2 linked regions of the Astyanax mexicanus genome follow. The protein of the gene in region 1 binds, or shares a complex with, the protein of each later gene. Links are inferred from orthologs where the notes say so. Each region holds a gene or a part of one and is shown in the gene's direction. Other genes may lie near its edges.

Region 1 (16,713 bases):
GATCTCTCTCTGAATAGGGAAGGATGGGACTTAGTGTGGTGCTAGTCAGAGCAGGTGTCTCTTAGCTGATGTAAAATAACTAGCAGTTAGTGCTCTCCTCCAAGTGTGATCAGCTGTTCAATGGCATTGTTTTAGTGGTATCTTAACTACTGGCTCCAAAACTGTCATTCTGCTGTATTGCAGGTCTGAAGATGAAACACTACCTCTCGTGTCAAGTCGTAAGTAGTTCTTCAGTTTTTACTATTATTTTTGGTAAAAATCTTTGTCAATCTTTAAGTAAAGTTTTAGTAACTGAACACTGAAGAAATGTGATTTTGTATAATTCTTATTTCTACTGCTCTCTGAAGCTAATTTCAGTCAGAATGAGATTGGAAAGCCCATATTGGACGTGGTTCTGGAGGCAGGTGACCTGCTCTATTTTCCACGGGGTTTCATTCACCAAGGCAACTGTCTCCCAGATGCTCATTCTTTACACATTACCATCTCCTCCTATCAGAGGAACAGCTGGGGTGACCTGCTACTTAAGGTGAGCTTAAATGGAAATATTCAATTTTGGATTTTTCTTTGTTTTATAAATAATAATAAAAAGTCCATTGCAAGTTGCTGTTTGATTGAATCTGTCAGAAACCAGGAAAAAAACATAAGCTATTAGCCTTAAAAGAATGACAAATTTGCAGATGCGGTACTTTTGATGCTTTTGTTAACATATTGCTGATAATGCAGTGCCAATAAGGAACTTGCCTTCTTCCTCTCCAACTGATAGATTTGTGTGTCTCTGTCATCTTCCTCTTATCTCTTAATTGGTCCATATCTGTCTATCGTTTGTGTGAAACCGAATAAAAGACTCTCATAAAATATCTAAGCACTTATTGATTTGTTTAGTTTAAAAGTGAAATAACTTTAGATGCAGCCATTTAATTTAACATGCTTCTTCAGCATAGAAAAGAATTTCCAGATCTGTCCGGGGACAACGGATGAAAAATAGCCTTTAGGCTAATTCTGGTGCATTTACAGTAATGCTATTTAATGTACACTGTCCCTGTTAAATAAACTATTAAAATTAAAAATTAGGCTCTGGGGCACAATAGAAATCCGTAACCCTTCATCATAGCATTATAGCTCTGGTTGACAGTGACCTGCTATTTTGGAATGATGCCTTTAAAAGAGCAGAGTCCATATGATCAGGAAATATTTGAACCATATTTCTGCACTGTATTATTGCAAAGATATAAATAGAGACTTTGAGATGGCCAGCAAATTTGTGGACTTTAGTGGGTTAAATTAAGGTGATGCATAAAGAGCTGGTAGAAAATTATAATTAAGAATAGTGTGCTAAACCAAAATATGCCACTGTGTCCAGAAATGTACTAAATCTAATAGGCCGCAGAACTGAAAGCACAGTCAAATGAACTGAAAACATAGCAGAGAGATTGTCTAGTGTCATGCTTAACATTTAATGATGTGGAAATATTTTATTTAATGACTTTGGAACTTGTGTTTATGTTTATCCCTTGTGATTGACAGGTGATGCCAGCAGCTTTGGAAATGGCGATGGAGGAGGATGTGGAGTTTCGAAAAGGGCTGCCGCTTGATTACCTTTCCTTCATGGGAGTTCAAAACTCTGACAAGGTGAGGGCTTATTGACTAATCCCAATACATCACTGATGCATCCATGCACACAAGGGAAATATGTTTAAAGTCTTAATTAACTGCATATCACTTACACATTCATTTTGTGTGTTTGTGTGTGAAAGCAGGAGGATCCACGCAGAGACAGATTTCTTTCCCACATGGACGGCTTAATGAAGAAGCTTGTGTCTTACGCTCCAGTGGACGCAGCTGTGGATCAGAAAGCCTTGGGATTCCTTCATGACTGTCTACCACCCATGCTTAATGCAGGTAACCCTTAATAAGGTCTATACTTTTACTACTTAGATTAAATTTTTTATTTTTTTTTGTAATCATCATCTTGTTGGCTGAAACTCATTCGAGGTTATTATCAAATATTCATGTACACATGTACAACATCAAATACACTGAGATAAGGGATAGCAGCATGTTAATTGATCTTAAAGTTGTGAGGAAAAAAAATTGTGCGTTAATGGCAAGGTGAAATAAATTATTTAAGTTTAAAAAAAGGTATTTAGAGAATGCATAATGGAAGTCATTACAAGCCACAGTGAATAGCACAGTGGGTGGTAATGATTGTGAACGGTGGTGTTTGGCTAAAATTTCCATGTGCAAAACACATCCTCATTCAAAGCAGGAGACCCACATGCATATCCTACAGGTCAGTGCAGCAGTCTTCAGCTTATATGGGACATATATGGCAAAAATCATGGAACATTCTATACTAGTTTCTGCCCCATGACTTTAGGCATGTCCATGTATAAACCAGAATTCTTCTTAAGTTAACACAGAGCCAGACTAAAGCCTCTGTTTGAGAGTAGAAATATAGAGGCCATATCACAAGATTTACCTTACTGAAGCTCACTGATTACTTCTACAGCAGAAAAAAGGCCAGCTTGTCCGTTTCCATGGCTACAGTACACTGTTTACATGGTGCTGTTTATACCTGGCAAACCTGAGTGTGGAAATGGGACTGGGGGAATCACAGTGAGCTAAGGAACACACAGATTTTTGTGACATACTGCACAGTTCATATAAGAAAATACTGTCTGAAGCTCTGCTGATATAAGCTGTCAGAGCTTAAACTTAACATGTTTCCTTAATATCTGATGATGCATCATGATCATGTTATGAGTTACAACAGTAAATATAATCCTTAATGGTCCTTTATGGAACAGGCTTGCTAATCTTCACTGGTAATGTTAGCAGTGAAGTGAATTCGGGCGTCTGCACAATCAGAAAAATATTTGGAAGTAACTTAATCCAGAACAATCTGAAAACTCTGGAAGGGCTTAAAAAGGGGGAAATAAACACTTAAGACTATCAATTTTAGTCTACAAAAAAAGACAACTGAAACTTGAGGCAAAGCATCACAAAAGATACATACAACATATACAACTAAAATTTGTATCGTATTTTCCATCCCTACTTTAAATGCACATGAAAGCAGTAAAAGACAATGCTGATCCACTATAAAAGGACGAATCAGTGACTGCAGGGATGCTAGAACTAGTGTAATATAGCACCTTTTCTCTGGTGTTTGTTAATACTCCGTCTGCTGCTTTGGCTTGTGATGTTATGTAATCTCATAAACAGTGCATTACTGTAGCTGGAGGATGATTATCTGAACATTCAAAAATGAATTACAGCTCAAACATTTGCATAATCAGATCTACCTTTGGTGTAATCTTCAAATATGAATGTGAAGTGTGAGGTAACACAGCTTTGTCTGTTTGTGTGGTGTGTAGAGGAGAAAGCCAGCAGTGTGTATGGAGCTCCTGCACGGTGGGAGGATGGAGAAGCTGTGAATGTGACTGTTCAAATGAAGGGTCAGACCAAAATCAGACTCATCCGGGCAGGGGTTGCTAGGTGAGTTATCAACATGTGTGTCTCTCGGTTCAGTTCTGTTCATTCAAAGTGTTTATTATTCTGAAGAAGTCAAATCAAGAGGCTTTTATTTACATTCTATCATAACCAACAGTGTTACGGTATGTTAATAAACAAAATAATTGTCAGTTGTTAAGAATGATTTGTTTGGTTTAACATTTGTTTGTTACATGGTTGTTTGGTTTAGCTGGCTCAGCTACATTGGAAAGAAATATTAAGTAAATAAAATAATATGCAGCTAATCAATATCAGTTGATATAGTAACATCTATATCTAAGTAACCTAATACAAACCCTTTTTTTGTAGACTGGATGCAGAGCTTTTTTGCATTTTGCCTATTTCATATTTAGTTTCTGTTTAATCACTGCACTTTGTAAAATAATTAACAGGGTTTTCATGGTAAATCGTAATGGTGCCTCATGTTTACCAGTACATATTGAATTCACAGATAACATTTTACATGAGACTGAAATGTAATTTTGCTGTTTCATCTAATAACACAAGTTTGATTTAGCAAGTGATTTTAATTAGTTTAATAGTTCTCTGCCGCTCTACAGAATTCAATACATTTTTTTAAAGAACAGGATAGGACAATGGAGAACATTTGTTTAGAATTCTAAATTTAATTTCTTAAGCATACAAATCTCAAATAAAACTAAAGTGACATCCAGCATCTTTACATATAGATAACCACACTGTACTGTGATTAACCATGTTAGATTCAGACTTTGCGTATTTAACACGGGTATGTTCCTTCTCCACAGGCTGTGTGGTGATGGTGGAGCCGTTCACCTTTACTACACCACTGAGAACTCCAGAGTTTACCATCAACAAGAACTCAAGAGCATGGAGATTAAAGAAGAGGTAACATTTCTACTTTTGCACACAAAAAAAACAATATGATGATACTTTAGATTTCTAATGCTATTGTATTTAACTAAAAGAAAGTTGAGCTGTTGCTTTATTTTTATGAATCTGTAGCACACAGATGCCCTGGAGTTCCTCATTCATGCTTACCCAAAGTTTATCACAGTCTCCAGTTTACCATGTGATACAGAAGAAAACAAGGTAAAACAATCCTTCATCAGAACTTGAATAGTGTAGCTTCACAAAGATTAATTTGCATAACGTATTGTATTGTTAATAAATGTTCATAACTTTTAGATTTGAACATTATCATTAATGTTACATTCTTTTTTAACCTACAATGGCTTTAATTTTGTGTATTTACTATTCACAGATATCACTGGCAGAGTCGCTGTTTGAGAAAGGAATAATCCACACATCTGAATCTTTAAAGGCAAAGTGAAAAGTTAATTTGTTGATTATTAATGAAATCATGTGTGATCATATACATGTGTTCTCTGTTCTGCTTTATACCTGTCTACATTATAGAGAAATAAAACACTGCCATTTCTCACAGCAAAAAATAAAATAAAATGACAAAAAACAGTAACGTGTGGTTTTTTGATTTCTACAAGATGCAGCACATGTAAAAAAAGAAATTCTGAAGTTATCATTAAGGTGGCCACAGGCCAGTGTGATTTTGTATCTCTTTTGTGCTAGCTTAGCCAGTGATGTTAAGGGGTTAAAAAACGTATATATAAAATAGCTGCTATTTTGGCTGTAACATTTGGCTTCTGCCTCCTCTTTGCATTAGCCAGTTAATACAAGGCAGCCAAACCAAACATAGGGCATTTACAGTTGTGGTAGCTTTTGAACTGTATTTTGTATTGGGCAGAGTGTGTATGCACCTTCATTAGGGGGAAACATAAAACCATGAATTAACTGATATGCAAAAGCTGACGTGTAGCTTAATATCTGTACAAATGTACAATTAAACTCTGCATCAAACAGACGCAGGAAATTACAATAAACTACCAGGGAGAAAAAAAACACTGACAGCAGTTTTGTTGGATCAATATATTTTACATCACAAATGTTACTGAAAAGTCATTTACAGGGCTTAGGACAACAGAATGTCAACATGAACAGAGCAGGAGGTCCAATAAATATGCAGAGGGAGTCTTCACTTCCAGGTGTATTCCTCACCAGGCTTCAGTTCCCTGAAAGAGCAGACCTTTCATCAGTTTAGTTTATTTTAATAAACTTTTATCTATCAGAACAAAATGTTTGTTATAAAAAAAAGTGTTTGCTAGCTCACATCAAAATAATTTCATAACAAATAAAGAGTATGTGAAAGTAAATGATAGAGTGAATTAATTATACATTATTTGAGTAAGTGCACCTTGGTGCTGGTTATGTGAGACACACACCTGCTGTACAACGCACTCTTGTTCCTGAATGCTGTCAACTTCTGATCATTCCACCTGTCCAGGTAGACACCAACAACAAATCCCAGGGGAACCAGGACATTGACCCAGTGCTCTCGCACCAACAACGCAAAGTTCACCATGATGCCTGTAAGATGAGAGTACAATGAGTTCCACTACTGACTGTAATAGAGCTAGCTTTCAACTACAGGCTTGAAATGAATGATAAAATGTAGTTAATGAGTCTTGTGAGTGTATTGTAACATTGGGTAGAATTTTATAAAACTTCTTATAATGAGTAAACTGGTGGAGTAAAACTTCTGTTAGTTCAAAAAAGGTGGCTGCATGTAGATGCGTTGCCCCAAAGACAACAGGCTTAAAACAAGTGATGTTTCAGCTTTGTTATCATGTACAGTATGAGCTGGGGAGAGAGTGGTACAAACTGTTGTTGCTTTACATTATAATGGCCCTTTAAAAATATCAGAGATGCTATAATTGCAAATTAACTCTTAATATGAATATTGGTGTATCTGGATCATGGACAGAGATGTAAAGTAATAAAGTAGTAAAGTACTTCACTACTATAATGCTGTATCTACTGGAATATAATTTTTTCTCCTACTTCCACATTTACTTAACTACATATTTTGAATACTACAATTATAAAAAAAAATAAGAATCCAGATCAGTGGATGCTCTGCACCGTTACTGGTTTGATGAAGCTCTTCATCACTGAGTGAATCAAATGATGCTGATCTTATACTCCCGTTCTGCCTTTTACTCTGCTGCCTGCCTGCAACATGACATTCAAACTGCTTTCTGTAATAACTGATAATGAAAGAGGGGCTTTTGAAAGATCAAATGAACCAACTGATTTGGAAAAAGGTTACATTTCGTGAGATGTTTGAATCATCATCCACCACAGTGACATCTGGTAGGCAATCAGGCACTTTTAAATGATGGCACATTAGAAGCAATGAAGAATAAAGCAGTGCAAGGTTTGTGCCTTTTTACAAAGAAGAGTTACAATGCATTTAACCTCTTTAAAAAATGTGACAATGTTGTCATGTGTCATGTTGACAACACACAGATCAGATTTTGAAAAACTCATTTAGAAACATTTGGGGGAAAAACTGCTTGCATTTTATTTTAGGATTTCAAAAAATGTATAACCTGTGACATAATGAACACTGATTTGTGACAGTTACATGATTTTTTGTTTTTGTTTTGATACAGACTTCGAATTAATGTATTGAGACACAGATTCAAATGAATCAATTCATCTTTTGTTTTGAGTTTTGAGTTTGACATCCCTAGTAATAACTACACAGCACTGTACTTTACTTTTACTTTCCAAACTTGAGTACTACATTTTAGAATAAACTATTTTAAAATGTAAAATAATACATAATACATGTATTATGTATTAGTAATAAACAATACATAAGTACGAAAAAAATAAATATTTTACATCACAATACGCAGATCAGACAATCAATAAGTCCAAGTATCTGAAGCACGCTACTGCTGCTGCTTAGCCAATCAGCTTTCCCTTCTTCCCCGCCCCTAAACCCATACATTACCCAGTGTCCCTCCCACACTTCCCCCTCCTATTTTCTTTTTTTTTTTGTAGCCTTTTCCAAATTTAAACTGAGGGTGGCGTCAATAAAAATCGGAGGATTAGTTACCCTTTTAAAGAACACTTCAACTTCTACTCATCACTATTTTTAATAAAGCATTTGATTAGATAGATAGATAGATAGATAGATAGATAGATAGATAGATAGATAGATAATTGATCCTAAAGGAAACTTAGCAGTAGCAATTTATCAATTTGTACCTTTACTAAAGTCTAAATCTCTAGTACTTTATACACGTCTGATCATGACTGACATTCAGATCTTTACAGACATGATTTAGGACTGTTTCATACAGATAAATGACATTTTAGGTTGACGTCTTGTTTATTTTACTGTAGTGTGTTATATTTAGGGCTCCTTGCTGGGACTATATTATAGAAATAAACCAGATTTATCACAAATATGTATTAATTAAATAAATTAAATCTGATATTTAGTATGTTATATTTAGGGCTCCTTGCTGGGACTATATTATAGAAATAAACCAGATTAATCACAAATATGTATAAATTAAATAAATTAAATCTGATATTTAGTAGCACAACCCTTCATCATACCCCTGCCTGGTTTAACTAACTGACCTCACCAACCAACAGCACCAACACCAGCAGGCCCCTGTACTAGCCTCAGAGTTAGCTAGCCTAGCCTAGCCTAGCCTAACAGCCATAATTCTCACATAGGAAGCTGTTTACTGTGTGCTTCAACAAACTACACAATTACGACTGCTTCAATTACTACTTTTACCTGAACAAAAGCACTATATATCCCACATAATTACAGAAAAAAAAAAACATCACAAAAGTGTCGTTACCTTCTCCTCGTCTCCTGTCGCTTCGCTGTGGAGCTGCTCAGAGGGCACTGAGCTCTACCACCTTTCTCAAAACGCGGGGGAGCGACGACTTATTTATTTCTGCTGATATTAAGTTTTGTTTTAATTATATTCGTCGATAAAATTAAATATAGTTAAAATTGTGTGATAAACGGTAGATCTGCAGCATGTATCGTATTATTTTAAAACGCAAATAATGTAATACAATTAGTTCGGCTTCACCTAAAAACACGCAGTAAGTGGTACGCTCCGCCGACCCTGCTCTGTAATGGCGCAGCGCGGCGAGATTGAACAGTGAAATTCCTCTAAATATAATAAAAAATGACGCTGAGAGCGGTTTGGACATGTTTATCGGGACACACGTTCATGTGAAGTTCTTTAGTTCTTCGACCGGTATGCTGCTGTTCGTTAATATGACTTTTTTTTCCTTCATTTTAGCTTCTGTTAGCTAGCTCGCTAACCTAACGCTAGCCTTCAGTTGATTCAAAGCTGGTTGCCTAGCTAGCTTAGCTAACCTGATGTTATTGTGAGCTGACCGGTAAAATGTATTTAGTTGAAGATTATTTTTAAACCCAAGTATTCAGGTTTATTTGCTTTTTCGGTTTTAAAATACACAATAGAAACTCATAGTACCTTTCCTGTGCTTTGTATTTTTTATAACGAGGCTGAAATGGGCTTAATATTGGACATTTCAGTTCAGTTCCACTTTAAATTGTACACCCGTTTCACTCTATATGTAACTTAGCTGCTGCATCATATAATGTGAAACTTATATTATATAGCTTACCCGCAGAGTGATCTATTATAAGCGTTTATTTATTTTATTGTTAAATGAAAACCAATGAAAACCCCAAAATTAGTGTCCCTTTGTAAGACCCTTTGTTACTTTTGGAAGTGTGGGCAGTGTGCCAAGTCCTGCTGGAAGATGAAATCCGCATCTCCATAAAAGTTGTCAGCAGAGGGAAGCATGAAGTGCTGTAAGATTTTCCAGAAAAACACTGCACTGACTTTGGACTTGATAAAACTCAGTGGACCAACACACCAGATTACATGTCTCTCCAAACCATCAGTGACTATCGGAAAATGTTGTATTTCATTTGGAAATCAAGGACCCAGAATCTGTAGGAAAAGCACACAGCTGCTTGAGGTCTATTGTAAAGTTTCCACAATCAGTAATGGTTTGGAGTCATTTGCTGGTGTTGGTCCACTGTTTCATATCCAAAGTCAGTGCAGTGTTTTCCTACGAAATCTTACAGCACTTTGCTTTCTTCTGCTAACAACTTTTATGGAGATGTGGATTTAATTTTCCAGCGGGACTGCCCACACTGCCAAAAGTAGCAATTGGGTTTTCATTGGCTGTAAGCCAATACAATAAATGATTGCTTAAAATAGAGCACTCTGTGGAATTTTTGAGATGCACTAGTAGATAAAGTCCATCTTCATTTTATTTCTTGACAAAGCAGAGCAGAAATTGTAGTTATTGTTTTTTAAACACCAGAATTAGTAGCTGGTTTTCTAGCCAAGTTAACTTAGGATTTGCTAAACTGTATTGTGACTTGTATATTTGCATAGCTACTCCTTGTGATTGCTAAATATGTAGGATAAGCAGGTTTTATCACTGATACAGTCTAATCAGTATGTGCAGTGAGTAGCCACTATGATGTTTTAATTTTTTTGTAATCATTTTTGTTCGTTCCTCATTGTACTTTAAAAAAAAACTGGGTGCTGAAGTAACAACACAGCTCAACAAAACTGAACAGGCATCGTTCAAGAACAAGCTGCTAGTTTTGGTGTTTAAAAATTAGTAACTACAGTGTGTACTCTGCCTTGTTACTAAACTAAAATGAAGCTGGACTTTATACTGTGAGCTTCCACCTTCAACAGTCCAACAGGTGTACTATTTAAGGTGGAACTGAAATGTCCACTTCAGCCGTATTATTTAGAAGCTCACAGTATAAAGTCCAGCTTCATTTTAGCATAATAGGTTAATAAAAGCGAAGTAAACAATGTAGCCTATTGTTTTTTTTAACACCAAAATTAGTAGCTAGTTCTCTAGCTAACTAGGTTATCTGTGTTGGGATTTGTTGAGCTGTGTAGTGACTAGTATATTTACAGAGCTGTAACCTGTAAAGAGTTCATTGTTGCTAAATCTAAAAGCTGTTTTTTTATGACTGATTCAGTCTAATCAGTTTGTGTAGGAAGTTATATGCTGTAACATTTTTTTCTTGTTTTCTCCGCATTAGAGTGTGAAAAAACTTTGTGTTGAAGATGACCTCCATCATCAAGCTGACTGCCGTATCCGGCGTGCAGGAGGAGTCTGCTCTCTGTTACCTGTTACAGGTAGATGAGTTCCGCTTTCTTTTGGACTGCGGCTGGGACGAGAGCTTCTCCATGGACATCATAGATGCTATGAAAAGGTGGATGCTCATGATCTCCATTGGTGGATTCTATAGGCACTGCTTAATTTATCAGCTGTATTTGAATGCAGAATGTTTTCCCTGTTGCTTTGCAGGTATGTGCACCAAGTCGATGCAGTGCTTCTCTCTCATCCAGACCCACTACACTTGGGCGCTTTACCCTATGCAGTTGGCAAACTGGGCCTCAACTGTACCATCTATGCCACCATCCCTGTGTACAAGATGGGACAGATGTTTATGTATGACCTCTATCAGGTATGGACAGAGGGTTCTGGCAAATTGACATTTTGACAAACAGGTTATTGTTGTTTTTGCTAAGATGTTCTTTCTTGCAGTCTCGTCACAACACAGAAGACTTTTCCTTATTCACACTAGATGATGTGGACTCAGCTTTTGACAAGATCCAGCAGTTAAAATACTCACAGATTGTAAATCTGAAAGGTAATTCTTAAATTCACTGTACAATTTTTTTTAATTAAGTGTTAACTTTATTGCTTTAAGGGATAGCTATTATCTTGTCTTAAAATTGTTGAATGCCAGCACATGGATTGAGTCAATGTAAAAATTTAAATAGAACATTTTATATTAAGCTTTTAGAGGCATAAAGCGGATAACGTTTTTCTTCCACTGTTGCTGTTAACAGTTCACACCCGAAAGTGTTCTTAATGACTTGCCCGGTTAAATAAATAATAAATAAATAAAATAGTGTATATGGCACATTGTCTGTTGTGTACATACATTTTTGTTAAAGTTGTCGGAGAAATCTGTATATTTCTATATTATTAATATAGGTGAAACGAGAGCCCTACTTTGTATGTTTCAAATTTACGTATACATGCAGACTTCTCACTTGTTGTATTTTCATATCTTTTTTTTTTCTTCTAGGAAAGGGTCATGGTTTATCCATCACTCCGCTTCCTGCTGGTCATATGATTGGTGGGACCATTTGGAAAATAGTGAAAGATGGAGAGGAGGAGATTATTTATGCTGTGGACTTTAATCATAAGAGAGAAATGTAAGTAGGCTAAACGTTTTAAACATGCTGATGTTTGCCATTGATATTTTGCTTCTGCTAAATAAATGACTTACTATTTGCTTGAATCTTGCAGTCATCTAAACGGTTGTTCCCTCGAGTCAATCAGCCGACCCTCCCTGCTCATTACTGATTCCTTCAATGCCACTTATGTTCAGCCTCGCAGAAAACAGCGTGATGAGCAGCTCCTGAGTAAGTTTACTGACCTTCACAGTGCTTGAGCCTCTCAGCCACCTTCATAAAGTACCTAAAGTGTTGTTGTTAAGTGTTTTAGTGATACAAAGTAGTTTACCATTATTTGTTTGTTACTGATTTTAAGGATCTAATATTGCAATTACTGGTTATATCAGCACATATAGTTGTATTAATATTAGAACCAGTAATGTACTGACTTAACACATTGACATTGACAATAATGAAGACATTTTGTCACAAAGTTAAAAATAAAATAAAATAAAATAAAATTAGGTTTACATACATTATGTTACCAAGCATGCTTTCATTCAGTGCAGTCTATCTATGCAATGTTAAAAATGGCTGATTGGTGAAGCTAAGCTGTATTTTTTCCTCCTACAGCTAATATTATGGAGACTCTTCGTGGTGATGGCAATGTGCTGATCGCTGTGGATACAGCTGGACGTGTGCTGGAGCTGGCTCAGTTGCTGGATCAAATCTGGAGGACCAAGGATGCAGGGCTGGGGGTGTATTCCCTCACTCTGCTCAACAATGTCAGCTACAATGTTGTGGAGTTCTCTAAGTCCCAGGTCTGACATACTTCACAACCAAGCTCCACTGTCCATTGTTTAAGAGATCTACAACCCTGCAAAGTTTAATACATTCAGCTGTAGCACAGCTGAGATCCAGTCCAGCTTAGATCAGCATTGGCTCTGGAACTCAGGCTTTATTCACACTTTACGGCAAATCAGTTAGAAGTGACTAAATCTTCCACTTGTGAATGAGTATTGTTGTGCAGTCTTAATCAATTTATTGACAATAATTTTCATAATTACTAGCTATATTCACAACACAGATTTACAATATTTATAATAAAGAAAATTTAAGTTATTGCAAATAATTGTTAAAGTAAATGTTTCTTACATATTTTACATGTATTTAAATAACTTTAATAGTTTTTACTTGCGAGTAGAAATTGTATCAAAATATCCCCTTATAAGGCTCAGCTGAGATCGCAGAGGTTGTTGCTTTGTGGTACAATTTAGCATTTATTTCTTTTCCTAATAGGTGGAGTGGATGAGTGATAAGCTCATGCGATGCTTTGAAGACAAGAGAAACAACCCCTTCCAGTTCCGTCACCTCTCTCTGTGTCACGGTCTGTCTGATCTGGCTCGAGTGCCCAGTCCTAAAGTGGTTCTGTGCAGCCAGCCTGATTTGGAATCAGGTTTTTCCAGGGAACTCTTTATCCAGTGGTGCCAGGACTCTAAAAACTCCATCATTCTCACCTACCGCACCACACCGGGTACACTGGCCCGATACCTTATAGACAATCCTGGAGAGAAGATGATAGACCTGGAGGTGAGCTTTGTCCGGAAAAAGAATTAGGCAGTACTTGGCTTATATAATTTCAAGTTTTTCTTATGTTACATGCCATATTTTAAAGTCTATAGAAGATTTTTTTGGACACCAAATAAATTGAAAAAGAGGTGGTCTAATATAGATTAGCAATTTATTCTACCTAATGATAAATTAAACTTCTGACCAAGCTAAACTGCAATATCCAATACATTGTTTAGATTTTTCTATATTCAGATTCATTAGAATGGAGTGAAAAGAAAAAGTTTTTATTCAACATTTCACACATTGCACTCCATAAAAATTATAACTATCTTACCAGTGATATTGCTGGTCAGTTTTTCATAACGTCCTTTCATGACTTCCCAGAGTCCTCTACTAATAGCATTTTAAATTTGTAATAGGAAAAATGTGTATGTTTTAAAGAAAACCTAAAATCTAACACGGGCATCAGTTTGTTAGTTTAATATGATAAAATCAGATGTGTGGTATTGCTAATTATTTTGAATGCAACAGTGAATTAATTTGTTAGCTAACTTTTTTTTTCTTTTAAAAACAGATAAAGAAAAGGACCAAACTGGAAGGTCGTGAGCTGGAGGAGTACCTGGAGAAGGAGAAAATGAAGAAAGAAGCTGCTAAGAAACTTGAACAAGCAAAAGAGTGAGTCATAGTGTGCAGTTATTATTTGTTTGCTAGGTAACGCGTGACTGAGATTTCTTGATTTTTTTATTTATTAAGTTTATAAACCTACAAAAATCCAAGCACGATCTGTCATTCACCCCATTAACCATTTGTTCAACCCTGTAAATCATGTTGGGTGTTGCCTGTGTTTATTCCGTAAAAAAAAGCCCTTTTTATGAGTTTTCTTTATGAAGTTTGAGTACAGTGCAGAAGCTTCAAGCAGTCAAAAAGTTTGTTTAAAAAAATGTCAGAAACCACATCGGCAAGTCCAGCAGGGATTACTGAAGGTTTGAGGAGAGTGTGTCTCATGTTTGCTAATGCTTCTGTCTTCTTGTTCTCAGGGTCGATGTGGACTCGAGTGATGAAAGTGATATGGAGGATGATTTGGAGCAGCCTGCTATGGGGAAGACCAAACACCATGACCTGATGATGAAAGGCGAGGGGGGGCGCAAGGGAGGCTTCTTCAAACAGGCCAAGAAATCCTACCCCATGTTTCCTTCTCACGAGGAGAGGATCAAATGGGATGAGTATGGAGAAATCATCAGGTAAGCTGCTGTAAGGCCTGCAGCTCCTCTTCTAAAACTATGTGGGTCCATTTAAAACATCAAGACACCTTATTGAAACACAGTTTAAAAAAGGAGGTCATGGTAACACACAAAGTGATAGATATAGATATGCTCCTGTAAAAAACTTTCATACAGTTCTTCTTCTGTTAGAGAGCAGATCCAGTGTAACTGTCAGACTAAAGTCTTTATTACGTTACATATTACAAGGGACATTTATTGAGTAAGTAGTTTATTGTAGGCTCCTTAAACAGAGCACCAACTAAACTTGTCTTGTGTTCTGTATGTGTTTTAATGGACTAAAATTAAGGAGTTGGCAACTGAAAATATTTAACAGAAAAAGCAGTTTTTGTGTATGGCATTAGTGACAAAAATTATTCATTTATACAAAACAGTGACTGTTTTATTATGTCATATTTACTGTGGTGTGAAAGTGTTTGCCCCTTCAGGATGTTTGTCACTCTTAAATGTTTCAGATCATCAAAGTAATTTAAATAGTAGTTAAAGACAACACAAGTAAACACAAAATGCCTTTTTTAAATAAATGTTTTAATTATTAAAGCAGAAAAAAAATCCAAACCCATATGGCCATGTGTGAAAATCATCATGATGTTCTAAAACATGGGTGCTCAATTCTGGTCCTTAAAGATGTACCATCCTGGAGATTTCAGGTTTAACACACCTGAATCTCACACCTGTTATTATGTTCTTAATAACCTGGATCAGATGTTTGAGGTTAGGGGTGGAGAGGTAGATCTCCAGGTTCAGAAATGTGCACACCTATTTTTAATATAATTTGATGCCTAAGGCTGTCTGTGTCTGGAACCGTGTTCCCTGTTCTATCACTCATGCCATTTTTGTGGCTGCTCCCAGGCCAGAGGAGTTCCTGGTTCCTGAGCTGCAGGCTACAGAGGAGGAGAAGAGTAAGCTGGAGTCCGGTATGGCTAATGGAGATGAGCCAATGGACCAGGACCTGTCGGACGTCCCCACCAAGTGTACGTGCACCACAGAGAACCTGGAGATCAGGTTGGTGTCCTTTTGCATGTCTGTCTGTGTAAAATATGTGTCTAAGATTCAACCACGTACTACGTCTTATAGGAGAACTTGAACAAGAGAAAAGCCAATTTGGGGGCAATTTAATTAAGTTTTAATTAAATTTTAAAATGAAAAGAAGTACAGAAATTAGACAGGATTTGCTGTCCTCTTGTGTAATGTGTACAATCAGGAGTATGCTAAAACAAAATACACTAAATAATAATAATAATAAAAGAATAACAACAAAATTAATTAAGCAGCTTAAGTAATAATAAAATAATGGTGTTTTGCAGGGTTTTATAATGAACGTTTGCAAAATTTTAACAAGGGCTGTTCATTTTTGTGTCACTAGAGCTCGAGTCACATACATAGACTACGAGGGCCGCTCAGATGGAGACTCCATTAAGAAGATTATAAACCAGATGAAGCCCAGACAGCTGGTCATAGTCCACGGGCCTCCAGAGGCCAGCCAGGACCTGGCAGATTCGTGTAAGGCCTTCTGTGGAAAAGACATTAAAGTGTACACCCCCAAGCTTCAGGAGACTGTGGACGCCACCAGCGAAACACACATCTACCAGGTAATGACATTAATTACATATTTTATGTTATATATTTACTATTAACATGATTAAGATTATGGGATTGGATTAGGCTGGATTTATTGTCTCAATGCACCGATGTAGGAATTGATTTTGCAGATATACAAATCTGCTGATGCCAATGCCAAAATACACATTTATAACTTAGAGACTAGACACTTTGGTTTATCTTAATAACATTAAAATTAATAAAAAATATCTTAAATCAATAATTATTAAAGTATCACAGTCAGTATTGGCCAACAGTAGCATGGCTAGCATCATTGAGTCCTTTCCAGCATACAATAAATACATCAGCAAGTATTGATTTGAAATATTGGTCATATATAATATTGGCCAATATAATTCCAATATAATTGTTTATCCCTAATAATTTATATGACTCAGTCTTGGACACAAAAGATTGTAACACATTCACTCATTACTTTTTTTTTACTGTAAAATATATATTATATACTAAAAAATATATTGTGTGGAGACGCACTACAAATTGCGTTGTTACATCCCTATCATAGCATACAAGTCAGGTAGGAAAATGTGATTGCATTGTCCTAATAACTCATCTGACACAAAGCATATGCGTTGAGTCTGGAGCTG
Region 2 (17,278 bases), on another chromosome or scaffold:
CTTTCCAGTCTTAGTGTTAGCTAAGAGGCTACACACACAGCTAACAACACTACAACAACAACAATAACTCCCATCAGAAACGAATCTGAACTAGATTAACCAGCCTTAACAGTAGACAAAACTAAATTAACAGGAAAAACTAGAGGAGGGTATGCCAGGTCCAGAAAGTAAAAATCCGTCCCAGGATTTTGTAGCAACTGCCTGGGAGGCTCTGCTGCAGCTGAGCTAAGCCCAGGGAGTTGATATAAAACCCTGGGATGGATTTTCACTTTCTGGACCTGGGGTACCAACATTTAGAGAAAAGGCAAATGAAAATAGTGTAACAGCTCACAAGCACTGAAAAGCGCGTTTATAACTAAAGAATACACCGAAATAAGGTTGTTTCTGACCTATTAACACGCGCTTAAAGTTCTTTAAGGGCTTAATCTTACCGCTGTGTGTGAATTAAGTGAAGACAGCAGACCCTGACAGGCTCAGACCCGCAGCAGCAGAAGCACGTTGCACACAACTTCTATTTGTGGCCAAAGTCCGCGAAACTGAGCGACCAATCACAGCGCGGGAAAGACGGAGTAGTCAATCAAAAGTGAGGAGCCAATCGCGACAACGAGAGGGCGTGGTCAGCACAGCAAAAGTCAACCTCTCTTCTCCTTAGAACATTTTATATATACAGCTCTGCGTGAAAATAAGAGACCACTTAAAAATTATGAGTTTCTTTGATTTTACCAAATTGAAAACCTCTGGAATATAATCAAGAGGAAGATGGATGATCACAAGCCATCAAACCAAGCTGAACTGCTTGAATTTTTGAACCAGGAGTGGCATAAAGTTATCCAAAAGCAGTGTGTAAGACTGGTGGAGGAGAACATGCCAAGATGCATGAAAAATGTGAAAAAAAGCAGGGTTACTCCACCAAATAATATTGATTTCTAAACTCTTAAAACTTTATAATTATACATTATTATTATATTTATAATACATTATTTACGGTCTGAAAGCTCTGCATCTTTTTTGTTATTTTAGCCATTTCTTATTTTCTGCAAATAAATGACAATATGTTTATTTCAAATTTGGGAGAAATGTTGTCTGTAGTTTATAGAACAAACAAGAACAAACATATACCTATACATAGCAAAATCAGAGAAACTGATTCAGTCTCTTAATTTAATTGGTCTCAATTGTTCTCTTAATTTTACGGAGCTTATTTGTGCATAATAAATAAATAATTAAATAAAAAATCTCAAAAGTGTTAAACAAACCAGAATATGTTTCACACTTTAGATTTTCTAAGTAGTATATTTATGTTTGAGGACAGATCTGCACACTCTTTTTAATCTCAGTGTCTTCAAGAGGGAAAGTCACCTGGAATATATTTTCAGCTTCTTGAAGGAATTCCTGGAGGTGCTGAACAATAGTTGCTGCTTTTAAAGCTCCAGCACATGCCAAATCACCTCAAATCACCATCTCAGTTGATCAGGTTTAGGTCAGTGGATTTAAAAGCTAAATTTTCTCCTATTAAACATCAAAATGTCATTTTAAGTTATTGTAAATATCAAAAGTTCTAAATAAAACTCCTTTAAGATTCTGTTTCATTGCACAATTTTTCAGGAACACTTTCATGCTGGAAATCTCACCCTTTTACCACACTCCATAGGTTTTTCCACTGGATTCAGATTATGTGACTGAGGAGACCCTCTGAGAAGCACTGAACGAATTTTCACTTACACATACTTCATGTTCGTTAAACAAGTTGGTCACACATTTTTGCTTGATTTTACATTATTTAATGCATTACTGCTGCCACATGACTGTCTGATTAGATAAAAGCATTAATGTGTAGATTTATAACCCAATAAAATGATCCACAAGACGTTTTCCTGCAACTCTTTTATTTCATAACTTGCTGTATTTAGAAGAGCTGATGTCAGTAAATGCAAACAGGCTTTACAATGGATACCTCTTTACTCTGCATCATGTTTAGCATTATTTCTGTGTTGCTGTAGCATGTTTGTTAGATGGTCTTCTGCTTCCAGGTTTCCTACTCAGTGTATCTGTCCATAAATGATCCCATGGATAATGTCAGGATTTTGTTAGGTGGTGTATGAATCATTAGGTTATTTACAGAGAGCTTTGCATCAGTATACATGATGTTCTTGAGTGTCTGCACATAGAAACATATCAATATATTTATTGTCCGTTCTATCAGCTTCAATGAGCATATAGGAGCATTTTGTAGTTCTGTAATTACAGACTGTAGTCCTGTTTTTCTGCATATTTTATTATTATCCTCCTCTCACCATGTTCGTCAATGGTAAGGACCCCACAGGACCACCACAAAGGAAGTATTTCCTGTCTCCCACTCTTTGATATTTACATATCTTACTTCACTCCCACCACTACTGCACATTGTTTCTGTCTCATGTATGTCTATTTGTGTCCCTGCTGTATTGTACACATAGTGTCTCCCATTTTTTTTATTATATCTACTATCTGTACTTGCTGTAGAATTTGGGAAGGAGAGTAACATAATTTCAATCCTCCGTACGTCCTGTACATATGCAGTATTGACAATAAAACTACTTGACTTGACTTGACTTGGCAATCCTCTCATCCCAGCCTAACACACACTAACACCTCATAAACCACCTCCATGCCAGTACAGTCACTGCAGTGCTGAGAAGAACGACCCACAACCCAAATAATAATAGCTGCTTTGTGGTGGTCCTGTGGGGTCTGGACCATTCATAGAACTACAAAGTGCTCCTACATGATAATTAGAGACAATAAAATAGACAGTGAATGTAGAAACACACAAGTGGTGTAAATGCTATGGTTGATTGGTGCGTATATGCATATTAAGAACAGCCTTTTAACCTTTTTGAAGACTTTAAGGGCTTCAACAGCAAACAAGTACAGTAGACAGTAGCAGAACGAGAGATCCAACAATGAGCGTATATCTCTTAATAAGCAGGAAACTTGACCTTTCACTGATGCTTATCTTTTCTAATACATTGCAGGAAGAGAATAATATCGCCCAGACATCTCTCTAATTCCAGTTCACCTGCAGCAAAAAAAACTGATTATCATAATTTTGCATCTTACAGTAATTTACTTTGAGAGCGCAGATAGAAAACTCACTTTTACATGACTTAATAGGTTAATAAATATATATATGTAGTATCAGAGTAAAAGTATCTAGGCATTGTAAATTAGCCACTTTGGTGAAAACACCCCCGACCTCTGCTGGAGCATCAATCTTAAGCACTGACTGACTATCAAATGCCTACTTTAAAAGTTAGCATTCAAACTGCATAAATAATTCCTTTTCAGTGGAACTTTGCATTGTAATTTCTTACAAAGCAGAACAACACAATCAAACCTGTCTTCAAAAATAGTAATGTCAATATATCTGTGTACTGTACTGTCCCACAAGGTCAATACAACCGTTCAGTTTCTGATATTTCTTTAACTCTGTCTTATTTTAGGGACAATGTATGAAGTCCTTTTGTTGCTGCAGCTGCTGCCGCTGCTGCTTCTTTTGCTGAAGAGAAAAGAAAACACAAAGAAAAGAAAAGATAATAATTAAAAAAAAAACATATAACATTTATAATATTACAATATAAGTGTTTCAAACTTTAAGAATTTACCTTTCCTCTCCTCATCTTTTTTCTTTGCTGCCTCCTCTCGCTGTTTTCGAATGATAGCAAGCCGAGCAAGATCTGCTTTGGCTTGATCTGTCTTTCCTGCCAAATGCATCTTCATGTATCTTTCCTTGGCCTTCTGCTTTTCAATTTCTTCTCTGAAGTGTAAACAGACATGTTTACATATAAAGACATACAATAAAACAATAACAGCAGATGAGGCTGCACAATATATATAATTTCTGTATAATTATTGCAATATGTACATACACAATAGTTACAAGGCATGCAATATCATATGCAGTAGCATCATTAGTTTGTTTGATGCTTAATACAAAGGGAATATTTTTCCTTAAACGCAGAGGCAGATTATATTTACCCAATATTAGGAATGCACTAAATATTCAGCAACCAAAATTTGATAAAGGACCAAATCATTTAAACCAAACAATTATGTTTTCTGACTAACCCCCCCGGTCCGATCACTGATATTCATTTGTGGGGCCAACATGGAACCTGTGTATAAAACATTCTGGTTCCTAGTTGGCTACCCATACAGGTCCACATAGGCATGTTATCTGGGATCTGTTATTGATCCAGCTTTATAGGGCGTACCTTTCTCTTCTAGAGAGCTGCTTGGGTCCCTCCAGTTCAATCTCTGTAACTTTCTTTGACTTCTGAGCGACACGATTGGGGTTTTCTATTTCTATTAAACCCTCCACACCCTTCTTTTTCTAACAGAAAGAAGGAGAATCGTCATAAGATAACTGGTGCTACAGAGTGCTACACAAAACAGAGACGGAATCTTACATCAGAGTCCTCCTCATCACTGTCCTCTGAACCTGACCCAGCAGGTTTGTCCTCTGTTTGGTTGTCATCATTCACTGTTGCTCCATCTGCCTCTTCTTCAATCTGTGCAAAGGTTTCAAATATATATATATATATATATATATATATATATATATATATATATATATATGTTTATTATAATACTGCGTATATAGACATTACATAAGCAATCCTCTATAGAATCACTTCTCTCCATCTGAGGTTTCCATGACACAAATAAAAACACGTTTTAACTCTCCAAAATGTCAGCTGACAGGCTTTTTGACGTAAAACCTTTTTACATTTAGCCTTTTCTGGTTAATATGTGAAATACTTTTATTCAAGGCTTTTGAAGGATTTTTTTTTATTTTCATTGCAAAAAGTCAGTTTGATGAAAACAACTTGCTGAGAAGCAAACATAAATGAATTGCATTTAGTTGATGGAAACTCACCTGTTGAAATGTAAACTTAAATGTAACTTTCGCAAAATTAACATTGCAACTTACTTTCTTTCTTTCTTTTTCTGCTTTCATTTGAGCATCTATTTCTTCTGGACTTGTGTATGTTCTCATTCTGCCTTTATGTCCACCTTTTCTTCCTAAAATAGAAATTGTGATTGATTTTCAAATCCATTCATTCTACATAAAACCTGCACCATACTGATATCAGCTATTGGTCAATATCAACAAAAACAAACAAGAAAGAAAATATAGTTTATTAAAGAATGGGTGATTTTAGAAAACTATTAACTGTTTAACAGCTAACAGCTGGTAAGTAGCAATGGAAATAAACTGAGCTTTGGAAATGGATTTTAAAAATAAAATGTAATTTTTCCAAAGTCTTGACTGAAGTAATGCAGTGCTGGAACAGAGGGTGCTACTGCATTCTCTACTGCAGCATTTGCACACTTACACAGCACATTCACACTTTAATCACAATAGTTAGAAATTACAAAATATAGATTTGAAGAGCAGAGCAGTGAATACTGTGTTCTACACATTCAAAAGACTCTTGGAAACTGGAGAAACTGGTACAGGAAGATGCATGTCTGGCTAAACCACATGGCAACAGCGCCTTAAACTCAGCTTAACAATGGACCATTGGACCATGTCTTAGTTTCAGCAGTGAAAGGAAGAATTAGAGGTCTGACTGAAGAAGTGCAGTAATTTCCCCCCTAATCTTAGCAATTTATATATATATATATACCTTACAGTCTGTTCCCAACATGGCAAATAGTACAGATAGCTAAACGTCAATCATTCATGTTGACGTGACATGGTTATTTTAAGACAAGAACTCTACAGTAAACTGCAAATCTAAGAATATAATAAGAATAACTACACAAACAGAAAAAAAACATTTGAAAAAACTATTTACATTAAACCAGATGTGTAATTACAGTAAGTAACTATTGACTGACAGTCGACGTATAAGCAGAGTCTTACCTCCTTTAGGCATGTTGACGATTATACAGTCACTAATTCTTCAGTTAAAGCTTAAATTGTGGATGTAAACAGCAGGAAAAGCTGTGAAATTAAAATTAGAAGCTTGTCACCCAACCCTGGTTATCTAAGTTTAGCTACCCTGGTCTGTTATGGTCGGTTCTCGCTTCGAGAAATGACTGTCAGATATTATAGTTTATAAATATAAAATAATAGACTAAAGAGATCAGATATCAGCTTTTAAACTTAAATGACAAAAAAATAAAGTAAAACTAGAAATCAGTCAGGCAAGCATGCTATCTCCTGTGTTCTCTTCTCTCACTGATATACAGACAGGCACCGTCGGGGACACCTAACCCCGCTAACCTGATGCAATAGAGCAGAATCCTGAGCAACAGTCAGCTAACACGAGATAACTACTCATTTATTCGCGTTTTAAAGGTGGATTTAAGGTGGTAGTGTTTGTGTTCATGGGGTCAGACTCGAATAGAACTGATGGTGAGGGTGTTTAGGATAATCTGGTAGGATTTGGGGGAAGGACAGCTCGATTACGCGTATTTTTGAGCCATCCTGCTGCAGGCAGGCCCCCCTCACTCAGTGACGCCGATTCAGAGAGACGGTAGCTAGGCTAGGCTAGTTTGGGCTGAGTGTGCTGTACTGTGTTTCCCTGCCGAAACAGCCCACGTCTCTCTTTTGTGTTTTTTTTCTCTATTTCTGTTTAATTTAACATTAATTTAAAGCCATGCCCAAAGTGAAGAGGAGTAGGAAGCCTCCACCAGACGGCTGGGAGCTGATTGAGCCGACTTTAGACGAGCTGGATCAGAAAATGAGGGAAGGTGAGTTCAGACCCGACGCCAGTATTTTTAGCCAACAAGCTAAAGCTAACTGTACTACTACTGCTGCTGTTCGGGGTTTGTTTGTTTAACTTCTTAACTTTGTCTTTGTTTAACTACTGTTTAAAGAACGTTTATAGATAATGTTACATACAATCGGCGATATTCAACCCTTTCAGACCCTATATCCATTGTTGTCCTTCAGAATAGACCATGAACGAGATTATAAAGCAATGAAACAGTAGCTTGGCCCCATCCACTGCAGACTAGAAAAACAGTGGTTCTAAAGCCAATGAGTGAAAGTAACAGCTAGTTTTTAGTAATTTGATGTGATTTACACCAATATTTAACCATGTTCTTTTTGGTTTATGAAATAAAAAAATAAATGTTACACACGTTTTAGATTTTAGTTAATTGAATTTATTTGCTATGCAGCTTCTATTGTAAAATATTAGAGCTTTCTTTTCTGTGTATTACAGCATTCTTATATATTTTTTTTCCATCACTGGAGATAATTCAGGTCCGAAAGGGCTAAAGAACTGCAAGTAAAGGAAAATGATTCTGGTGATGGTTCTGGGCACTTATGGTGACATAATGTAATATATATATATATATATATATATATATATATATATATATATATATATATATATATGTGTATATATATATATGTGTATATATATATATATATATATATATATATATATATATATATATATATATATGAAAAAACCATGTGGAGCATTTTCATCTCATTTTATCTTATTCTCACACCAAAGTTGTGGTCATGCTTCAGGCTCTCATTCCCACATCTTAAAAAGTTGTGGCCATGCTTTATTCTTTTTTGCATGATGTCACTTTAGGTGCAAAGGAAAAAATAAATAAATCGAATACAGAAAGGGGGGGGGGGGGGGTGGGGTTATCTGTTAATCTCTTGTTCCCTCATTTTAGGTTACTGCCTTCAATTCATCCTGAACATGCTGCTAAACATTTTGCCTTCAATCCACAGCTGAAACTGAGCCTCATGAGGGAAAACGTAAAGTGGAGTCTCTGTGGCCGATTTTCAGACTTCACCACCAGCGGAGCCGCTATATCTTCGACCTGTTCTACAAAAGAAAGGCCATCAGTAGAGGTGAGTTCAGTATAGATATCCAGTTTACCAATTTATAGTCCCGGTATAATTATAATGATATTATGATACTTTCCTTTGTGTCACTAGTTAATAACAGTCTGGTATTACAGTTAACAGTAGCAAACCTCTTCATAGACAATAGATAAATAATATGTGCATACCCTCTCATTCAATGTTTTTATTTAATTTATTGATTTATTATTATTTTGCTTACATTGTAAATTAATACCGAAGTCATCCAAAGGAAGGAACACACAAGGAATCATATGGTAGACGTAAGTGTTTAAAAAAAAAAAAAACAATGAACCAAAATACAATTTTATCATGATATTTTTGGTGGTCTTTGCAACTGCACTGGTGATACTTTCAAAGTAAAAAAATCAGTGACTTTGATTTCTAAAAGTGTTTTTTTCTTTGCCTAGTTGAGTATTTCTTGCCATAGGATGGATTAGAACATTACTCAAATAGCGCTATTCACTGTTTATCAACTCTACCTCTTCACAACTTTACAACTGATGCTTTCAAACACATTAATTCAAGTAATTAACTTTTAAGTTCAGCACAGCTGTTAACTGAAAGCCGTCCCAGGTGACTCTACCTCATAAAGAGAAAATCCAACAAAGATGTGTAAATCGGTCATTTAAACAAGGTGGTACTTTGAAGAATCTAAAATATAAAACATATTCTGGTTTGTTTAACACTTTAGTGTACCAAATCTTTCATGTTTTTCTTTATAGTTTGGATGACTTTAGAATTAATCTACAATGCAGAACATTTTTAAATAATGAAAAAATCCTGAATTGATTTTGACTATTTGACTGAACTGATTTGACCAGCAATGTACATACATAGATACATGCATAGATACTTTATTGATCCTGAAATAAATGTAGCAGCCAGTACCATTGACACAAAACGGCACACAACAATAAGGGTGGTGCAGTATAACAAAATGAGTACAATTATTAGCTCTAGATGGTATAGCTATACATCTCACTTGTTGCAATAAGGCACGAACAAATTACAAATTACAATTATTAGCTTATTATGAACAGTGCGGGAATATAAACAAGAAAAATACTGCCTCCAAATATACACGTGTAGACAATAAATAGAAAATATGTTAAAATATGCATTCGAATCTTACTGGAACTAAACAGACACTGCAGTGATAAGTAAAACAATGTGCAAGAGGTCTAGGTATCGGCAGATAAAGGGAATACTGGATAAAAATATGCATATATTGTAAAGTGGCTAGTGTTCAGGAGTGCAGGTGTACAGTAAAGTGTCAATAGTGCAGATAAAAAAAACGTATGATTAGCAGTACACTAAAAGGTTATATATTGATGTTGAAGTAAAAGTGTTTCTGTATTGTGTGCCCAGAGCTGTATGAATACTGCATAAGAGAGGGATACGCCGACAAAAACCTCATAGCAAAGTGGAAGAAACAGGGCTACGAAAACCTCTGCTGCCTTCGCTGCATTCAGACACGTGACACCAACTTCGGCACAAACTGCATATGTCGAGTTCCTAAAGGAAAACTCGAAGTGGTAAGTTAGTACGGTACAATTTTGATGTTGCTTTTAATGAGCTGCTGATTTTAGTTTTCATGTCATTAATATCCCTTTTACTATTATAAACCAACATCATGTTTAATAAAGCCTACAGCCCATTTCTAATAGTCTAATAGATTTCTCAATTTATTCCAAACAGGGTCGGATCATTGAGTGCACTCACTGTGGGTGCAGAGGATGCTCCGGATAATCAAGGGCTTGTATTTCATTTCTGGGATGTTGGGGCTCAAAACATTTTGATTTCTTTGATTTTAAAAGTGTCTGCTTGCTTTCATTCCGGATTGTCTGTAAGTGAATGTAGAAATGTTCATCATTTGTGTATTTTGTGAAAATGTCATTTTTATTCAAATTACCTTCAAAAACCTTTAAAATGTGCTCTTTACTTTGTTCATTTTGTAAAATAAAATCCTTGTTGTAAATGTTTGTGCTTTTTTTGTAACATTTTATAAAGAATTACATATACTGTTGAATTGTCAATTACATGAACATTTAACTATTTACCAGTCATCAGTACAATGAAACATGAATACAAAATACATTAATTAACTTCTATAGGAACTGTCTTTTTTAAAATGTCAGCATGAAGATTAAAGTTTAGAAAAAAATTTATATAAATTCATAATTTTCCATCTTATTATAACTACTTCCAGCATAATGATGAACCATGCCATAAGGAAAAGTCTTTCTAACTGGTTTAGTGGACAAGACAATACGTTCTGTGTTGTTATGTGGCTCTCTAGTGGGGGTTAAATTTATTTTTGCTGGTCATCTGATTGGAATCCATCAGCATCTCTGTGTTTGGTAAAACAGGAGATCCCCAGCATGAATGTATTCCTAAAGAATCAAAATGCAAAAGGACACAATATGATGTTTTTTTAAAAGTAAAAATTTTAAAGCACAGGAATTAACGTTATTTTCTATTTGATTTTAACATATTAAACACATTTACCATTTACTTTTTGCACAGGCAACATTTAATGTTTTGTAGTATGTCAAAGCAGCAGTAGCAGATTATTTTCCTTTTAAAAATATAAAATATAAAGAAATCTATTTTCAATTCAGTTTTATTGTCAATACTGCACATGTACAGAACATACAGAGGATTGAAATACATTACTCTTCTTCCCAAAGCTACAAGTACAGCAATATAAAAATTTAGACATAAAAGAATAGTATATATATAGCTAACGATTTTTTAATTCATTAATATTTTCTTTATTTTACTTACTTAACTAAAAACGTGGTTTATAAGGTCAAATCGCTTTTTTGGAAAAAGACTTTTGTGCTGCTTTGGTTTAAACAACGTGGATCTTGGGGTCCGTCCCAAACCACACTCTCTTAAGATTCTCTAAGCTGCTTAATGTTCTATACTAGTCGGTGCACTTCTAGGGGTGGTGCACTACTTATATAGGCTATGTAGTGCAGCTGTGTGCGGTTTAGGACAGACCCTACGTCTGTTACTGCTGCTTCCGTTAAAAGCGTTCATTGGACTGTTTAATCAATAACAGAGTATTTGGTTGGGCTATATTGCGACTGTATGGTATCCCAGCATATACATGATTTATATTAGCAAATCAAGACCCTCTTAAATACACTGTAAATTGTTTTTTTGTTGATAAAATCTTATAGAAGTGCGGTTGTTGGCGACCCGGTTCTCTGGGTTGTGCTGGGGTTGATTGAGCGGCCTGGCGGAGGAGCGGGGCTGTGAGTGTGCGCGGAGGGAGCGGAGCGAGGGGCGCTGCTGTGTTTATTAGTTAGCGGAATATTCTGATAGATAATCGCTATGGTTTATTAAACTGCTGCTCCTGAAGGAGGATTTAGGAGTTTTTACATGTTGTAGCGCTTGGTGGCTTTGGTTTAACTCCTATATCACACAGCCTTGTTGTTAAATTTGGTAGGTTTTTGCCTAGCAAGCTACGTGTAGCGTTTAGCCAGTTAGCAGGAGCTGCAGGGCTGTGTATGGGGGAGACTGTAAGTGCTGTAAGTTTGTTAAAAAGCACAAGAAAAGAGATTAAACATGCAGGAATTAATCGCCAACGTTGATCACCTCAAGTTTGATCTGGAGATCGCTGTGGAGCAGCAGCTCGGCGCTCAGCCCTTACCGTTTCCAGGGATGGACAGTAAGTTCACTGAGCCAGTTAAACAACAACGCTCAGTTCACCTGATAACTCAAGTTCAACCCCTGTCATTTACCTGCTCCCCCTCCACAGCTATATACTCTACAGCTATAGCGCATTATACTGTTATATATATTCTACACCTATATACTCTACAGCTATAGCACATTATACTGTTATATATATATTCTACACCTATATAATCTGCAGCTATAGCACATTATACTGTTATATATATTCTACACCTATATACTCTACAGCTATAGCGCATTATACTGTTATATATATTCTACACCTATATACTCTACAGCTATAGCACATTATACTGTTATATATATATTCTACACCTATATAATCTGCAGCTATAGCACATTATACTGTTATATATATTCTACACCTATATACTCTACAGCTGTAGCACATTTATACTGTTATAGACTCCAGGCCCTTACCTGCTTGCCTTCTACAGCTATATACCCAACAGTTTTAGCACATTTTACTGTTATATACTCTACACCTATATACTCTACAGCTATAGCATCTTTTACTTTTATATATTTTACAGCTATAGCACATTTATACTGTTATACACTCTACACCTAAAGTTATATACTCCAGTCCCTAACCTGCTTGCCCTCTACAACTATATACCCGACAGCTTTAGCACATTTTACTGTTATATACTCTACACCTATATACTCTACAGCTATAGCAGCTTTTACTTTTATATATTCTACAGCTATAGCAGCTTTTACTTTTATGTACTCTACACCTATATACTCTATAGCTATAGCAGCTTTTACTGTTATAGAATCTACACCTATATACTCCTGTCATTTAAATGCTCCCTCTCTACATCTAAATATTCTACAGCTAGAGCAGCTTTAACTGTTATATACTCTACACATATACAGTGAACTCATCTGTCCTTTACCTGCTCCCTCTCTACAGCTGTATACCAAACAGTTATAGCAGCTTTTATGGTTATATACTGTATAGCTATATACTCCTGTCCTTTACCTGCTTTCTCTCTACAGCTATAGCACATTATACTGTTATATACTTTACACATATATACTCCTGTCCTTTACGTGCTCCATTTACAGCTATAAAAGATTTTACTCTTATGTACACTACAGCTTTAGTAGATTTACTCATATATATTCTACAGTTTAGCAAATTTACTCTAAGATACAGATAGAGGATTATATATACCCACCAGCTATTTACTCTACAGCTATAGCCGGTTTCATACTTGTATATTTTACAGTAATATACACTGCAGCTAAAGCAGTCTGTGAAGCAATATACTGCAAAACTATAGTAGGATTAATAGCTATATACTTTGCCCAAATATGTACTCTACAGATTTATGTATGTGTATTTTATACTCCACAGCCAAACCAGTTTTATTGGTTTACCTCTCTGTCTACCTGTCTGATTGTGTATATAGTTTTGTTCTACTGTAACTCTGTGTTTCTCTGTACAGAGTCCGGTGCCGCTGTGTGTGAATTTTTCATGAAAGCTGCTTGTCTGAAAGGTAAGTGGTAGTTTATTTATAAAAATAACCCAAAAGCTTTTTTGGGGCAGCTTGGACATAATTAATCTGTGTTACTTTTGCAGGTGGAATGTGTCCTTTTCGGCACATCAGTGGAGAAAAGACAGTTGTGTGTAAACACTGGCTGCGAGGTTTATGCAAGAAAGGGGACCAGTGTGAATTTTTACATGAGTATGACATGACGAAGATGCCAGAGTGCTATTTCTACTCCAAATTTGGTAAAAAAAAAATCTTAACATATGGTTACTTGAAAATGTACTCACAAATTGTTTTTTTGTTGTAGCACATTTATACTGTTATACACTCTACACCTATATACCCGACAGCTTTAGCATGTTTTACTGTTATATACTCTACACCTATATACTCTACAGCTATAGCAGCTTTTACTTTTATAAACTCTGCACCTATATACTCTATAGCTATAGCAGCTTTTACTGTTATAGAATCTACACCTAAATACTACTGTCATTTAAAAGCTTTAAAAGCAGTCTGTTTATAAGAAAGTATGATGATGAGGCTATGATACAGATTTAATCTGGGCTTTTATGGATATATGTTTTAGCTTATGTGATTTGTTATTGTTTTGAAATGTGTTATTTATATTTGACAGGTGAGTGCAGTAATAAAGAATGCCCCTTCTTGCACATTGACCCAGAATCTAAGATTAAAGACTGTCCATGGTATGATCGGGGATTCTGCAAACATGGTAAGTCTGTGTACTCTAGTGGACATACATCAGGGGGTCCCGGAGGTTCAGTGTTTGGCACAGTTTGTGATTCTCCTTCTCAATCACAGATGATTTATCTTGTGTCTTAATGCCAATCTATGTTGTATGTTAATGTCATCTACATGTTGTGTGTGTGGAGGTTTCTATACAAAATTGACCTTTTATCCAGGTTATCCAAATTATCCAGTGCTTTAGAGCCCAGTGCTGGGGGACTTTATACCTCTCTAGTTGGCGTCTAGCATTGGACCTGATGTCCGTGTGTCTGTGTTTGGTGCTCCAGAGTGTCCAGATTTTGTTTACAGATTATATATGTCTAATTTCCCCTAACTCAACCTATGATAAACAAAGCACATTGTTCATGACAGATCATGGCATATTGGATTATTTCATTCTAGAGTATATCTATCTTTGTATATCTATGTTTTTTTTTTTTTAATGTTTCACACAGAAACGCTGAAATAAAATAATCTAATATATGTTGGAGAGTAAGAAATATTCTTTCACTGCAGGATAATACACCTTCCTGTATTTATAACGTATTAAACGTGTGTGAACTGTCCTGTTCTCTCATTTAAGGTCCGGATTGTCGACACAGACACACAAGAAGGGTCATCTGTGTCAATTACCTAGTAGGCTTTTGTCCTGAGGGCAAAGGGTGCAAATTTATGCAGTGAGTACAGTCCATTCTTAAATTAATTCTGTCTTAATTCATTCTGTGATTGTTTAAGAAAACCTGATTGGTATTGAGTCAGTTTTAATTGATCAATTCATTTTTCAGCCCTCGTTTTGAGCTGCCTATGGGTACGACTGAGCAGCCACCACTACCTCAACAGTCTCAGACTCAGCAGAAGGTAAACATTAATTAATTTTTTGGGACTTTGGAATGTGTATGACTTTGAAATGTGCATGACTACAGTGCAGAAACACTAATTGTTTGTTTTTGTTGTTTTTCTCCAAATAGCAGAACATGCCGAATATGAACAGATCATCGTTATCACTCATCCAGTTAACCAACTCCAACAACAACCCCAATTTCCATCAAAAAATGCCTTACATGCATGGGCCATCACAGAATCAGAACCACATGGGTGGCTCCCGCGGCCCTCGACCTCTGGACCAAGTTACATGTTACAAGGTAGAAAACTTACACTTACATTGAATTAGAAAACTGTTGTTATGCTTTAGGACAAGTATATTATGATATTGGGGCACTGGAAGGTATGGAGGGTGGCTTACAGCTAAATAATGCATTGAGTCTACATATATATTCCATGTGCAAATGGCCTATGCTATTCTGGGTATTAGGGGTGTGCCATATCGTATTGTTCATGATAATATCACCAAAAATGTAGAATATCGGTAACGATATTATACCCTGAAATATCGTCCAATATCACCCACCCCTAATTACCTAATTATCACATCAGGGTTCTACTTTTTTGCAGTTTTTAGCAAAAGAAAAATTTACACTGTTTTAAATACCCTTTATATATCTACTAGAGACAGATTATATCCATCCAGTATCATTTATTTTATTTTAATCCTGGATAAATGGAGATATATGGAATGCATTATTAGTATCATGACATTCTGGATCATTGACTTCTGTTACAAATCTAATAAAATTATTTTTGTTTTTAATATCTCAGTTAACCAAATCATATTGCATGCAACAATAAAATTCAAAATATTTTTTCTAATTCAGTGTTTTGTCATATCGGCAAAAGTATTGTTATCGTGAAAATACCATGAAATATTGTGATATTATTTTAGAGCCATATCGGCCACCCCTACTGGGTATTTATACTTGTGTGTTTTTGTGTCTGTGTCACTGCAGTTTAACCGTAAAGGAAGGAGCATGATGCTTTTACTGCCACAATGTTTAGTTACATTTTGGAGTTCATAACATGCTCTCTGTTTTGTTTGGGTTAATGGGATTTAGTTGTAGCACGTTGTACACATTGTAGCACGAACCTCGAGTGCATTATTGTGATTATACTACAGTTCCATTATCTTTGTTTATTGAAAGATTTTAAGTTAAAGAAGAGGAGAAAACATGATCTGTTTGGTTATAATCACTTTTGAAATTGAAATAGTTCTATTGCTGCTCTGTTTGTAGCTGCGCTGTTTGGCTTGTAAGTGCTGCATCATTGCTAGGTATGTTGCGGAGTAATACACTGAGAGCTTCGGTTGCAGTGCATTACCGGCTGATAATGGCACTCATAGAAAGCCCCTTAGCCAATCACATTGCAGGGGCGAAACTCACTGTGGTATAATATATACTATACCACTGTTCGTTCCGACCTTCTGCCTACGACTGCAGCACAGCAGTGCCAATATTACATGTTAGAGCACTCCCTTCCGTATATTATTGCTGATTATAGTGATATTTTAATGATACTTTAAATACTTTAATGTTCTTTTTATTGACCTGTCATTTTCTACTGTGTTGCAGTGTGGGGAGAAGGGGCATTATGCCAACAAATGCACAAAAGGACACCTGGCATTTCTCAGTGGACAGTAGTATTCATCTGCAGCTGCTGGAATTTCCTCTCACAAGTGCTATGAGGATTGGAACGACAGCTTTTTGCTGGAAAGCTTTTGGAGGGTACTTCAGTTTACACTCCTTACCAGGAACACGTGCACTGAGTGACTCTCTAAGAGGGCAGATAATCTCAGCAGGTAGAATTCAGTGAATAATAAAGACCATCTGATTTGATTCATGCAAACAAATCTTTCTGATTTCATTCTGAGTTCACTATTATTATATATTGAGGGGAAACGCCTATTTTAGGGTGACCAGTAAAATTTGCATTATAAAATAAAAATATCATGGGGCTGTAGAAAGCACATCCCTTACTGTGGTGTTTTCTTTTTCATTGATATCTCTTTTAATAGTGTGAATTCAAGTCTCAGTCATTCTTTTGGGAAATTCCACCTAATCTAATCTGAATTGCTTAATCTGAATTAGATGTGTTGCGTGGATTACATGTCTAAGGCTAGACATGTGGCTATCCCACTAATGGATAGCACGCACTGCTACACACTGGCCTTTTTTGATCGCATCTTTGAGAATCAGTTTCTGGACTTGAACGTCCAAGTCACAATACGTTTTTTGAAAATTACCTAAGAGTCTGTTGTGAGCCTTCTTTCAAAGAGATGAGTCTCTTTTCTGGATCCAGGTGGATTTTGATTATGGAGTATAGAGTAGTTTTGTTGATGCATTTTGTACTTTCTGGTTAATAAAGATCATAAGAAATAATCAAGAACACTGTGATTGTTATTATACTGTTTTTGATAAAGAAGAGTTTGTATTAAGCAATGTGATTAGGTCTGCACAAGATGCATTGTTTCAGCATTGCCATCGATTGCAGTGTGGAGATGAATAATAGTAACATTGCAGGAGGTGTAATGTCATATTTGATA

What was found.
Region 2: cpsf2 (region 1) and cpsf4 share a complex: the UniProt entries of both Homo sapiens proteins name them as parts of the cleavage and polyadenylation specificity factor (CPSF) complex. The link is inferred for Astyanax mexicanus from reciprocal best matches to the Homo sapiens genes CPSF2 and CPSF4.

The regions. Positions count from the first base shown.
Region 1 is NC_064408.1:84,772,833-84,789,545, forward strand, and holds the start of cpsf2 (cleavage and polyadenylation specificity factor subunit 2), read left to right. Parts: upstream 1-8,484; 5' UTR 8,485-8,651; intron 8,652-10,501; 5' UTR 10,502-10,526; coding exon 10,527-10,675; intron 10,676-10,770; coding exon 10,771-10,930; intron 10,931-11,010; coding exon 11,011-11,116; intron 11,117-11,560; coding exon 11,561-11,690; intron 11,691-11,784; coding exon 11,785-11,900; intron 11,901-12,284; coding exon 12,285-12,472; intron 12,473-12,950; coding exon 12,951-13,241; intron 13,242-13,797; coding exon 13,798-13,898; intron 13,899-14,260; coding exon 14,261-14,464; intron 14,465-15,355; coding exon 15,356-15,508; intron 15,509-15,869; coding exon 15,870-16,095; intron 16,096-16,713. Other genes in the region: riox1 (ribosomal oxygenase 1), read left to right, coding at 184-218, 348-526, 1,525-1,629, 1,758-1,899, 3,378-3,498, 4,281-4,380, 4,498-4,584, 4,757-4,825; NADH dehydrogenase [ubiquinone] 1 beta subcomplex subunit 1, read right to left, coding at 5,546-5,582, 5,793-5,932. UniProt on the Homo sapiens protein: Component of the cleavage and polyadenylation specificity factor (CPSF) complex that play a key role in pre-mRNA 3'-end formation, recognizing the AAUAAA signal sequence and interacting with poly(A) polymerase and other factors to bring about cleavage and poly(A) addition.
Region 2 is NC_064410.1:54,217,044-54,234,321, forward strand, and holds cpsf4 (cleavage and polyadenylation specificity factor subunit 4), read left to right. Parts: upstream 1-10,914; 5' UTR 10,915-11,464; coding exon 11,465-11,567; intron 11,568-13,053; coding exon 13,054-13,104; intron 13,105-13,187; coding exon 13,188-13,340; intron 13,341-13,735; coding exon 13,736-13,831; intron 13,832-14,428; coding exon 14,429-14,522; intron 14,523-14,630; coding exon 14,631-14,703; intron 14,704-14,813; coding exon 14,814-14,987; intron 14,988-16,307; coding exon 16,308-16,376; 3' UTR 16,377-17,114; downstream 17,115-17,278. Other genes in the region: protein BUD31 homolog, read left to right, coding at 6,651-6,744, 7,751-7,873, 9,257-9,423, 9,587-9,637. UniProt on the Homo sapiens protein: Component of the cleavage and polyadenylation specificity factor (CPSF) complex that play a key role in pre-mRNA 3'-end formation, recognizing the AAUAAA signal sequence and interacting with poly(A) polymerase and other factors to bring about cleavage and poly(A) addition.